Daphnia pulex: one gene and its partners. The protein of the gene in region 1 purifies or fractionates together with the protein of each later gene. This does not show direct contact. Links are inferred from orthologs where the notes say so. Each region holds a gene or a part of one and is shown on either strand. Other genes may lie near its edges.

Region 1 (3,428 bases):
TGATCAAGTCGCCATGGATGGTAGGAATTTCTTTCGAAATATGACAAATAATAAGAAATGTAGTCATATATCAGGTTAATTGATGAATTTTAATTATTTACATTATAGCCGCTCGCCTGAAAATCAATTCTGAATTCCGAAAATATCAGAGAATATCAAGTCAAGAAGCAATAGCAGAAGTAAGTTGATCATTCTCGTTTCGTGCCGACATTCCAAGTGATACCCTGTTATTTTTTTGGCAGTTAATCAAGCTTGGAAACCAAGCAGAGGAAATTCTACGGACAAGTGTTGTGCAGGTCACCCCCACCGAAGAAAACACTTTCAGTAATTTATACCTTGAGATTGTGATCTTCATTCTTTATCTAATTGCCTTTTATTATTCTTTATGTGTGGCAGGACTCCATATAACAAAGGACACCTTTATGCACAACAACACGCCATATAGGGGATGATTTAGAATGTATGTTAGTGTATATGATTGTGAAAAATAGAGAGACTGTAACATTTCAACAGACATACAGTTTATTTTATTGAACATGTAAGTACAGTTTTCAAGTACCACAAAGCACAATTCATAGGCTGCCATTTGGGCCAGTCCACATGCAAAAAATCTTGCTGTTCAAGAGAATATATATATATGATGATGTTCACATCATTATACAACTGTCATGGTACCAAGGCGCTCCGATATGGCACTGCAGCAAAATCATTAAGCTGTCAAGGCACCGGAGATATGATTGATGGAGCAAACAAACTAATTCGAAAAAGGCAGTATCACAACAAATATTATTCGAACAGGCACGAGAAACAAGGACACGCAAAGGCACACATATACACATCTCCCCTCCCACAAAAACACCTCCCAAACCCAAAAAAGGGGGAAGTAACAGCTGCAAAAGTAAGGCAGAGACACAAACCACACACACACACAGTATATACGAAATAACGGCCAAAATTGTTTTTTCTTCCCCTTTTGGCACTCGGCGCACGTCATTGAGTCTCCACGGAACACAATTTAATGTACAAGAATATTCAAATTATTATTAAGACACGTAGGCAGCACTGAACAAATAAGAAATAATAATTAAAAAAACAAAAACAAAGAGTAATTGAGGCGAGATCTTCACACGCAGTCTTGTTCCATCGGAGCCCAGCCAAAAGAGACGAATTTGTCGGCTCTGATTGGCGTGCGGTTTGCCCAGCTTATTGCACTAGAACTCACTCAACGAGAAAGAAGAAGAAGCAGAGTACGCAACAGTTGCTATACTACTGAATCATTTGCAAGAAACGGTTCTCCTGCATCAGCGAATTGAGTGAAGTGTTCATGTCGTTAACAACCATGTTGTTGGCCGAGGAAGGCAACAGAGCTGCAGCAGCCGCCGCCGCCGCCGCTTCCTGTCGATCCGTTGAGCTGGAAACGGCGTCCTGGCCAGGGGAAAGCAAGGCCCGTCCGACAGCGGCCGTCTCGGCCGTCTTGGTCATTTGAGGCTCGCAAGCCCCAGGTTGTTGTTGTTGTTGCTGCTGGGGTGGTTTGTTCTCCTTAGCCGCTCGTCCGCCATTGTTGCCGTCTCCTGTCGATGACCAAGATTGGCACTGCTGGACATATTCCAATGTGCGCTGGTACGTCTCAGGACGCATATTACTCGGCGTTGTGACACCGGTAGCCACAGACGGAACGGCTGTGGCCGCGTTGTTAATCTGCTGGCTGTGCTGCTGCTGGACCGGGGTAGCTGATGGCCCCTGCTGCTGGGCAGCTCCTTGAACGCGAGCTCGGTTGATGAAATCTTGAGACTGGCTCACATCTTGGCATTGAATGGCGGATGCCACTTGGCTGTAAGGTGGCGGACGAGGATAGTTGTTGTAGGCCATCGCAGCGTTGCTCTGCATGTTGTTGTACATCAAAGACTGAGCATTGGTCGGCGGAACCTGGACGTTGGACGCTCCGTTTCCTGGACCTTGCATGGCGTTGTTCTGCCACGCAACATTATTGTGTTGTTGCTGCTGGGGGAACGGCATCGCCTGATGGTGTTGCTGTTGTTGTTGCGTCATGTTGTTGGGGGTGGGATATCCGCATTGCCAATTTTGGTTGTTTCCCGGATTGTTGTTGCAGACGGGCTGGGGCTGTTGGTGATGATGGCCGGTGCACGGAGAGCAAGGATTGTTGAATCCCTGGGCAACCGGATTGGCTTGTTGTTGGGCGGCTTGCATATGACCGCATTGTTGATTCATCATGTAGCCATTATTCATCGCCATGGCAGGTTGTTGGTTGTTGTAGTTGTTGTAAGGCATGGCATTGACGCCGGCCGCGTGGGCTGGCCCGTAGTTGGCTCCAGCCTGCGAGTAGTTTGACGGCTGCATGACGTTACATCCGACCATATTTGGTTGTTGTTGCCCTTGCTGGGCTGCCACCACACCGCTGGCGACGACAGGTGATTGTTGTTGAGCTGGGCAGGTGCCGTACATCGCAGGAGCTTGTTGCTGTTGGCCTTGAGGCTGGCCAACTTGAGCTTGATGGCAAACGGCCGGCCCATTGAAGTGCTGAGGAGCTGTGGCCGCCAATGCCGGACTGGCTTGCATTCCCAGTTGATTGCGAGCGGAAGGCGTCGGACTAATGTGCATGACGGCTCCGTTGTTGTAGCCAACCATGGTATTGTTGGGCTGATGGTGACCTGGATAATTGTGACTGCCCATCATTGTCGCTGGATTGTACTGATTAGTCATTTGCTGTTGTTGTTGTTGTTGCTGCTGTTGTTGCTGCTGTTGTTGCTGCTGAAATTGGTGGAACTGTTGCTGTTGGTGTTGTTGTTGCATCGCCCTGAACTGGTTGTGCGGAGCCGAATCCGGTCGAGGGCTTCGACCCATAAAGTAGGATCGTGGAGAGGCCATTCTTCCATCTTGATTGACGCTCACCTTTTTAAAAACAAAATTCAAATCCGTTAGAGAACAATTTTAATCGATTAATTAGTCGTTCAATTCTTACCTGATTGAGATACTGGAGCATTTCGTCAGGAACGACAAGCTTCTCTTCGACCATGTGACCCTCACCGACTTCTTCCAAGACGATTCCGCTGTTGGGGTGGTTGGGAGGATACCCGTTGACACCGCGGGCGGCCGGATTGTTAGTCCCTGTGGCGGTAGCTGTACGGAGCATCATCGGCTGCTGTTGTACGTTGTTGACGCTGTGGTGTCTCTGCAGTGCGGAGTTGAGTGGCGGAAGAGGAACCGCCGTTTGAGCAGCCATCGGCCGGACTGGATCCGACGCCCGTCGCATCTCTCGCTGGCCCTGAGTCGGTTGTTGCGTGTACGACGGCATCACTGCTCCGGGTGTTTGGCTCTGGCGAGGATAAGCGACTCCTCCGTTCATGTTCTGGACGCCCTGTCCACCGTTCATCCATCCGGATGCGGAATTGTGTTGGTGGTGATGAGGG
Region 2 (4,259 bases), on another chromosome or scaffold:
GCTAACCCCTTCAGTTAGATGCCTGTATCTCTTTTCCACGACCTAGAGGGGCTTTTACATCGACACGTAAGTGTAAGTGCGCTGGGGTGAGGTACGTGATGATGGCGTTAAACTAGAAGGCGAATCTGTGTGAAGAAAGTCCCAAATGAGGATCGTGTCGTCATGAGAAGAGCTTACGATCTGGAACTCATCAAACTGCAGTCGAAAAACTCGACCGGTATGTTCCTAAAATGTTCGTGTGTAAAATAGTTAAGGGATTATTTTTAACCAAGATGTTAAAAGTGAATAATACCACGAGGGTTCGAAGGCAAAGGGTCCCAGCTGGTGCTCTGGGGTCTAGCGCCGCTTGTAAATCCCAAACTTTGATTTTTCCATCGTAGGCTCCACTTACGATGCGTTTGGAATCGAACCTGAATCATTTAAAATCATCCGACAATAAATAAAAATGGTAATAATCATTTTGGGAATCGTTACTCATGCTTTACCTGATACATCTAACTAATTCTTCGTGACCTTCCAGTACGCGTATGCAAGCGCCACATTCAATATCCCACAACCTGCAAGATCATTACAACAAAATGAAAATGAGATCTACAAGAAATTGTTAAGCTGAAGGCATTTACCTAATAGAATTATCGGATGATCCAGAGACGACTAATCTGTCCCTGTATTGCAAGCAGGCAATGCCACGCTTGTGTCCGTTTAATGTCCGAACAAACTCACAGGTTGCTGTAGACCACACCTTGATGGTTCGATCACCCGAGGCAGAGACAATGTACTTGTCATCAAAGTCAACAACGTTCACAGCTGCACGATGACCAACAAGCACACGACGGAGGTTAATTTCAGTGGGACTCACCATATCCCACACAGCAATACTTCGGTCCTGAAAGATTTAAAAGGCCACATAAATATTTACAAATGCTATTTTTACAAGCTTTTAAAGTTACCTTGGAACACGTAACCATGAGTCCATGAGCAAACCGTAAATGAAGGACGGCTTCACAGTGGTGAATGAGTGTGTTGACCTTAAAATGGGTAATATTAATAATGCTTTTTATAAAATGATTTAATTAACGTACCATTTCCCCGTTGTTGAGATCCCACACTCTGACAGTTGAATCAGACGATCCGCTAATTATCACGCGCTCATCGTACTGTAAACAAAGTACGGATCCCGTATGTCCAGTAAGAACCTTCAAGGTAAATCAATAAATAAACAAGTAATTAAATCTCGCAAACTAATGAAAACCAACTTTTGCACATTGGAGAGTTTGTCGATCCCAAATCTTTATGGTATTATCTCTCAACCCAGAGACAATTCGTCGGTCATCATACTGGAGGCAGTAAACACCCTTCGAATTTTCTGATCTACAGTTTATCCGTTGCAGTGTATGTCTTCCACACCGCCAGTTGTTTTCAATTTGTTCAATGTCCTTAAGGATGCGTGGATATAACTTTCTGTAAAAGGAATGATCTGGCTGTTGTTCACCAGGACGGGGTTTGAAAAGATAGGCTCCCCATCCTCGTCGTTCACTCAAGCCTCTCCATAGAGAATCTGTTCGTACCTGTTATAAAGAGATTTTTAAAATTTTGTTTTCAAACTTATACTCATAATTTTAAAGATATACTTTTCTTTCAATGAGTTTTTTCCATAACATTCCATCTGCAATCACACGTCTCCATTCTTTGCAGACTAGTTCAGCATTTCTAAGACTACTATCATCCAGGTAACTTAAAATATTTTCTGCTATATGGTCTAAACCTTTTTCTAAATTTCAAATAAAAATTAGTTTAATTTGTACTATTTCAAATTTTGTTTTCCATGAATTACTGGGCAAGAATGATATAAAATCTCGTTGAAGCATTGGTTGCAAAAACGAGTTAATGTGGCCGTGTTGGTAGTGACACATTCGCTGCAATAACTGCTCCACGAATTCCACCTGGGAAACAATTATTGTTAAAGGAACATGATTATAAACTAGAATAAAAATAGTCTTCACACCTGATCAGATTCTGGCCAAGAATCAAAGCACTTGAGACAAGGTTCCTTTTCAACTAGGTAATTGGACGATAGTTCGGAACGGCTTCGTACAAGGCTGAGCATCGTATTTGCCTAGAATGAATGCACAAAACACTTCAGCTATTGAGAAATATGCATAACAACACTAACGACGAGCAAAGAAGAACCAAGGACAAATCTCGGAAGTTGACAAGGAAATATTGAAATTAGGCCTCCAACATGGCTGCCATTCCCAGTAGCACTGTCTCTTCTTCTGGATTTATTCAAGGCTTTTCTTCAACTTAAAGAACGAATTTAGCGAGCACGATTTTACCCCAATCGCTGGTGGAACATCTTCCACGATGTTTTCAGCTTCCATTTCACTTCCTTCCTCACTTATTTCACAGCAAATTGACAATACCAAATACTACAAAAGTCTTTCTCTTCCCCAACCCCACTTCCTCTACACTAGGTTCGTTCGAGACTGGCAAACTGACATAAATGTAACGCAGCTAGCGCTCCGGACTACGGTGTCCATGTTTCGAACTTTTCTTGTTTAATGCAGCCAAGGGGCGGGGTTACCTAACAGTCTAGAGTCTAAACCCCCTAAAACCTGCGACTGGTTGGACCTGAGACTTGGAGTCACTATGTTGTGAGCACTAAGCTTGGCGATTTGAACACTGTGGCGCTAACTGTATTTCCAACAATAGAAGATGTGCGCTAATTTCTCTTTTGTGATGACTTGCAGTGCACAACATTGCACAATTTCCTTTATGTCGAGTTGTCGATAAAGGAACCGAGATTCCGAGAAGTCGGTGAGAATGAGACAAATGAGATTTACTGCCGAATTAGTAAAAAGTAGCATTAATGTTCATTTTTTGGCAATTAACTATTAGAACTTTTCTTAATGAAAATTTCTTTACACTAACTTATAGAAGATGCCAATGGTTAAAGTAATCAACCATCAATGAATCCTAGAAAACGAAATAAGTTTGAAAGAATGTAATACTTTAATTCAACATTTTTTTATAAAATTCGATGAATTCATGTACAACTATTTCACAATACATTTATCTTAACAAAATGGTTTATTTTTCAAATTTCCCAAATTGAGAAGCTAACAAGTCAGGTCTGCCGTTTTCACTTTATTTGATGTCGAAGCAATTCAGCCGTACCCTAGCTAGCAGTCATCAAGTTTGTGCTCGATCAACAGGCTTCGTCCGATCGCATGATTATTGTGGTATATAGTAGAACACGATCGGATTTCACGATTTCATAACCTGGAAAACGTACCGGTTGAACAAATGGCGCACTTCTGCGAAGAGAGGAGTTATCCAGTTCTCTTTTGTCAATTATAAAATAAATAAAATAAGGCTAGAACCAAACACTGGCATCATTGACCAAGTTGAATATTGGCCATAGCCAAATAATGAGATTTGTAGGTCGCTAGTCGAAGCGTTCCTGCATTTAAAACGTGGTAAAAAGAAAGCGAGACGAGACTCGCTTCACCGGCAGAAGGTCGAGACTCGAGAGTGAAAGCTCGTAGAAAGTTTGTCCCGCTTGAATAACCTGTGCTAAAATAAAGTTTTCTCTCTTCTTATCAACACGAAGAAAATTTCCAATTCTTTACTCTAAGCGCATCATATAAGAAAGCGATTCACTCATTTTATTGCTGTTAAGTCAACAAGTATCTAAAGCAGGAAAAGTATATTTGCGCAAACTAAAAGTAAAATATTTCGCAATCACAATTTTACGGCACCATCGAGTCATCAACAGTGGTTGCGACATTATCCTTTCTTGCTGTAGCATCAAGCATCCAGATTGGGTTCTTATTATATATCCTTATGGGTTATGGTGTAATCGTATGTTAACATCCTTCAGTAATTCAGTTGGGTGAAAGAGATATGACTAAACTCAAGGCGGAAGTGGTTTTAGGTAACCTTGATGATGCGCTTGCAGGTAAGAATTCCGATGAAAATGATGCAAATAAAAGAAAATGTTAAATTTTTTCAAGCTTGGCCATCTGTCGTTCTAAATTGGAAACAATTGTAGGCAGATAGCCAGCTAGACATCACTGCATCGTGCAATCACCGCACTCCATATGCAACAATGCAAGAGCCAAGAGGTTCAAGTTTTTACTTTTCCAGAGGCAAATTCTATCTTTCTGTTTCCTTATCCAAATTCCACAAGACCGTGCTTTCGGGAGAGGGGGGGGGGGGGATTCCAGTTTACTTAATGCGCAATTTTGTCTTCATTT
Region 3 (4,509 bases), on another chromosome or scaffold:
CTAGCAGCAACTCAGCCGTGGTATAAATCGAATGATTTAAAAAAGCTCAGCTGAACGCGCACATTTGATTATGCCGTGAAAAAATCGGCAGCTCGAATTGTGTTCCTATTTCAAGTTACTGGGTTACACTGGGATATTCTAAAAGTAGTTTCGACAAAGTTCAATTCAAATGGCACTTACATTTTTTTTTATTGACACTATTTGCCAAGAAGAGATCCGGTTCGATAAAGTTAAAACCATCTATAAGTGGAAGAATGCATGGAATTCCAAAGTCAGAGTTTGAAAGGCAACAAAGGGACTCACATTACCTGATTGATTGATTTTTAGCTGCATATGAGATTCGTCCTCTGTTGGATTTAGATAAAAAAAAGTTACATAGAAAGTTGAGTCACATAACTTTTAAAAATAAACGGAGGTCGTTGGTAACAACGATTGTCACGTTCAGGTATATGGGGAAAGAATAAAATAAAATGTCGGAATACGGGAGAGGAAAAAGGAAATAAAGTTGAATCGTCAAGACCGAAAAGGGAGTTAAGAAAAGATTTGATCATTATGATACATCGTCATTGACAATTGTTTCTTGCTTGGAACGGGAGCGTCGACTGCCGGATTTTCTGGATCGATCAGAGCGATTCGAATTCTTGGAGCTCAGCAAGCAATCTAATTCAATTTCATTGCCGTCGTGGCGTTCAGATTGTGAGCGACGATTACGCTCAACGCGATGACGCCTGTCGTAGGAGCGTTTAGGACGTTCGTCTGAATCGATAACGGCATTGGCAGCTTCAACCGCCGCTTTGTGGTCCTCCTCTCGTAGTTTTTCAAGAAGGCGGGCGATAGACGAACGGTCCAACTCAATTGCTTCGACCCCGCGAGAGCGGGCGCTTCTGTTCCTATTGGACCTGCCACTGAAAATTTAAATGTCAACGCCAATTTTGCAAACGAATGCAAATGTGCTAAATATTTACCTGCTCTTGGAACCGTTGAGTTGTCGATCATCAGATTTCTTCTCCGATTTGATGGGCAGCAAATAATCGAGCAATGATTGCGAAGGCGAACTTAGGCCAGGCCCGCTGGCTGATATGTGATCCGATACGTCTGATGAGCTTCCATTGGGTGACCCATCGGCTTGACCTCGTTCTCTGTGGCACTTTGAGCTCGAGATGTTCGTTGGGGCCGATGTCGACGGTTTCGGCAGCGATTTACGGACGGCTTCCGGTGAAGTGGATGCCGAGGATGATGGTGACGATGAAGAAGAAGATGAAGTCACCTGTGTGCCTTTAGACACAGACTGCGTTGTTGTTTTAGCACTCTTGGTAGAAATAGGTCGAAGCGTCGATAAACTGGGCGACGTCTGTGTGGCCACGTTCCACGTCACGGCAGTTTGAGTCGACTGGGTGACAGGGACCGTAGTAACTTTGCATGATTCTCCATTATCGATGTCACTTTCGTCGCTACTTCCGTCGCCCGGCAGGTTGAGCGAGAAGCGCTCAATTCGTTCCAGATCGACTTGCGATGATTGCCGCTTGTCATTGGGTTGAACCTGGACAACAGTGCTCGCTCCAGCTGATCCAAGAGGAAGTAATTGGTTTCTACGTTTGGTAATGGCCGGCAAGATTTGCGAGCCTTTAGAACTGGCCAGTGAAGTGATACTTCCTCGGCGATTTCTCAGCGCAAGTTTAGTAATGGCTGGCAATATTTGCGACCCTTTCGAACTAGCTTGAGACGTAATACTTCCCCTGCGTCTCAGCGCCATTTTTCTTCCGCCCCGGAGCAAATTATTACGTTTACGACCTCCATGGCGGAAGTGTAGTCTAGTGAGCCGCTCCAAATCCGTCGTTTGTTGAGAATGTACCGAGTATTGTGAATCGAATGAGTGACGGCGAGACTGACTGGCTCTCGATTCGACCGAAATACGCCGGACGGCGCTCATGCTTATTTCGGAATCCAGCGAATTGCGCCGCAGTCCAAAGGCTCCAGCCGCGCCGACGATAGCGCCACGGCGTGTGACGAATTTGGGAATGGCGGCAGCCCATGCAGAACTGACGTCATTGGAAGCGGCGCTATTCAGATCAAGGTTGCCAAAACCGACTGGATCGTCGTGCGTACTGTGGATACTGATAGACATCCGGCCCATGTGATTCAGATCTCTTCGCTTGGCAAACGCCTGAGCAATGATTTTATGTTTGCGAATGCGAACGCGTTCATCCAACGGTCTCTTGTTGAAGGTCCTGGAAATAAAAACGATGTTTACATGCAAACAAGCCGACAGGGAGTAAACAAGAAGTGTGTATACCTTCGGTACCACCTCCGCCAAGCCAGGACGGAAGCCTTTGTCCAGACCCACGAAGATACGGCTACACCAGCTCCAAAGACGGCAATCAAATGAACTTGGGTGATGGTCATGCTCGGTCGAGATTCCAATTCACAGTCATCGGCAAGGCCTTGATTCTGAATGCGAGAGGTGTTTTGATTGGCCAGGCATCTGCAATGTCAAATACGAACGTTGAAAAAAACACAATGAATTTTTCTTTTAGTTAAAAAATTATTGTTTTTAAGTTTGAGGGGAAATGGTAAATTATTCAACTTGATTACTTCAAAACGGGGGCGTAAAATACCTATTTTGAAATTATGGGGCTTATAAACGTTTCGAGGTAACAAGCCTCCTACACATAAAACGACATTTATATGCTGGAACTAATTAGTTTGGGGGGGGGGGGATGAAAGCGTTTCGTGGGAAGGAAAAGATAATTATTTTTTTTGTAGTAGTACAAATTGAAAAAAGTCTGGATAAAAATAGTTTGGTTTCATAATTAATTGAATTTTTATAAGGAAAGATTGGCAGAGAAAATTCAATTTCAGTTAATGATCTGGATTTAGAAGGAAACTCTTATTAGCGTTGTTGGCGAATTTCTGCACGTGGCACAGAAACGTGCCATCTGAAAATGAATTATTAATTTATTGGATAGAAAAGCGGCTGCGCACTAGTTTTATGGGGATAAATAGACTACAAGGCCATGTTGAAATTGGGTGCGATAGCCAGGACTACCTAAAGCAAGTTTAAATTCCGTACTCATATAGACGCCATGATAAAAACCAGTATTAATACCCCATGAAAATAAGAGTGATAAGGAACGTGAAAAGCTTAGCTAATTTAACTACAAGTAAAAGTATTATGATTTAAGCGGAGATCCTTAGATACAATTTTTTAAAAATTACTTACACCATGTAGGAGCGGAAGGAAGTTTTCCACTGAGTTCGTCTATCGAATTCGTAAACATGGCAGAAAATGGACAAACCGATAGCACAGATAATAGAGGCTGAGAACGAGACGAGTCGAACGATGGTGTTGCGTAACTTGGAATTGGCGGAAGCGGAGATTGAGGCAGCGCTGCCCAGTTTGAGACGAATCAAAATAAGCAAACCGCGGTAGAGAAACACATGGCCAATGAAAAGCAAGATCATTACAGGGGCCAGAACGAAACCAGACCGCACCACTTTGCTGTTGGCCACGAAACAAATTCCATGAGGACTTTGTGCTTCGACCTGCGTTGGAAATAAATAAATATAAATCAACAAATACGTTCACACATAAATTCCTTGTTTAAAATAAAACTCAACCTGTGCTAGCGCCATGCATGTAATTGTAAGGACCAGAGGGATTGACCAGGAGACCAAGTGAAAGTAAGCAGCTTTGGAGCTGACTTTCTCACGGATTTTACCTAGAGAGATTTCAATGATGACATTCAGTTTTGTCTTCATTCTTTTTGGGGTGGCAGTTAAAAAAAATTTAAAATTCTACCCAGGGCTTGGAAGCTGACGAACCACGAATAGGCTAGCATGACAAACCAAACACAAGCAGCCATGAGAAAATAATAGATTAAGATGAATATAACAACACAAGACAGCGTTTCTCCGCCACTAAAATAAAAAAATAAATCAAACGAAATCGTGAAAGCATAAAACCAAAATTGCTACAGACATTGAAATGCGGCTTAAGCTGAGTTGGCATCATACCTTGGTTCTGATACACGAGCTGTTCCATCTTTCCGGCATATGATATCCTGTCTAGCACTGGGAATATATTGAGCAATCCAACCGATACAAGCGGCAGCGAAGCATACGTTCATGTAAAAAATAATAACGGCCGGGTAGCGTGAAGCGGAGCGCCAGTCAATCATGAACGTAAACTTCACATAGCAATCGATTGATTATTGATTCATTTATCTCCATATTCTAAACGTGTTTATTATCTTACCACAGCAAACAAATTGGTGGTGAGGCACATGGCGACCAGAGTCTGTGTGAATCGTTGGACTTGTTCATGTTCCTCCTTTGTAAACAGCGGGGAAGTGCAAGGCAGTCCGCATCCGTCAACTCCTTCAACATAAGCCAAACTATTGTCCGTTTCCACCAGAGGAGACTGGCACTTTGGAGTGATGTTGAATTTCAATTCTCTCACCTCATTCTGCAAGAGAAAAAAGTTTCGTTAGTAATAGCAAATGAATGCAC

Evidence for each region.
Region 2: the proteins of zinc finger protein GLI2-like (region 1) and F-box/WD repeat-containing protein 1A-like purify together in Drosophila melanogaster (affinity purification with western blotting; 4 studies listed by BioGRID, with this or other methods). This does not show direct contact. The link is inferred for Daphnia pulex from reciprocal best matches to the Drosophila melanogaster genes ci and slmb.
Region 3: the proteins of zinc finger protein GLI2-like (region 1) and smoothened homolog purify together in Drosophila melanogaster (affinity purification with western blotting; 3 studies listed by BioGRID, with this or other methods). This does not show direct contact. The link is inferred for Daphnia pulex from reciprocal best matches to the Drosophila melanogaster genes ci and smo.

Annotation. Positions count from the first base shown.
Region 1 is NC_060017.1:6,877,346-6,880,773, reverse strand, and holds the end of zinc finger protein GLI2-like, read right to left. Parts: coding exon 2,981-3,428; intron 2,911-2,980; coding exon 1,267-2,910; 3' UTR 505-1,266; downstream 1-504. Other genes in the region: complex III assembly factor LYRM7-like, read left to right, coding at 1-20, 109-179, 243-324, 397-452. UniProt on the Drosophila melanogaster protein: Has a dual function as a transcriptional activator and a repressor of the hedgehog (Hh) pathway. The full-length ci form (ciFL), acts as an activator (ciA) while ciR, its C-terminally truncated form, acts as a repressor. Involved in segment polarity.
Region 2 is NC_060024.1:7,565,569-7,569,827, forward strand, and holds the start of F-box/WD repeat-containing protein 1A-like, read right to left. Parts: upstream 2,801-4,259; 5' UTR 2,382-2,800; coding exon 2,337-2,381; intron 2,117-2,336; coding exon 2,006-2,116; intron 1,944-2,005; coding exon 1,835-1,943; intron 1,772-1,834; coding exon 1,632-1,771; intron 1,569-1,631; coding exon 1,257-1,568; intron 1,197-1,256; coding exon 1,083-1,196; intron 1,029-1,082; coding exon 951-1,028; intron 887-950; coding exon 624-886; intron 558-623; coding exon 486-557; intron 411-485; coding exon 293-410; intron 226-292; coding exon 55-225; 3' UTR 1-54.
Region 3 is NC_060027.1:3,198,486-3,202,994, reverse strand, and holds the end of smoothened homolog, read right to left. Parts: intron 4,466-4,509; coding exon 4,256-4,465; intron 4,188-4,255; coding exon 4,015-4,187; intron 3,919-4,014; coding exon 3,800-3,918; intron 3,720-3,799; coding exon 3,619-3,719; intron 3,544-3,618; coding exon 3,221-3,543; intron 2,483-3,220; coding exon 2,294-2,482; intron 2,229-2,293; coding exon 966-2,228; intron 906-965; coding exon 551-905; 3' UTR 165-550; downstream 1-164. UniProt on the Drosophila melanogaster protein: Segment polarity protein required for correct patterning of every segment. G protein-coupled receptor which associates with the patched protein (ptc) to transduce the hedgehog (hh) signal through the activation of an inhibitory G-protein.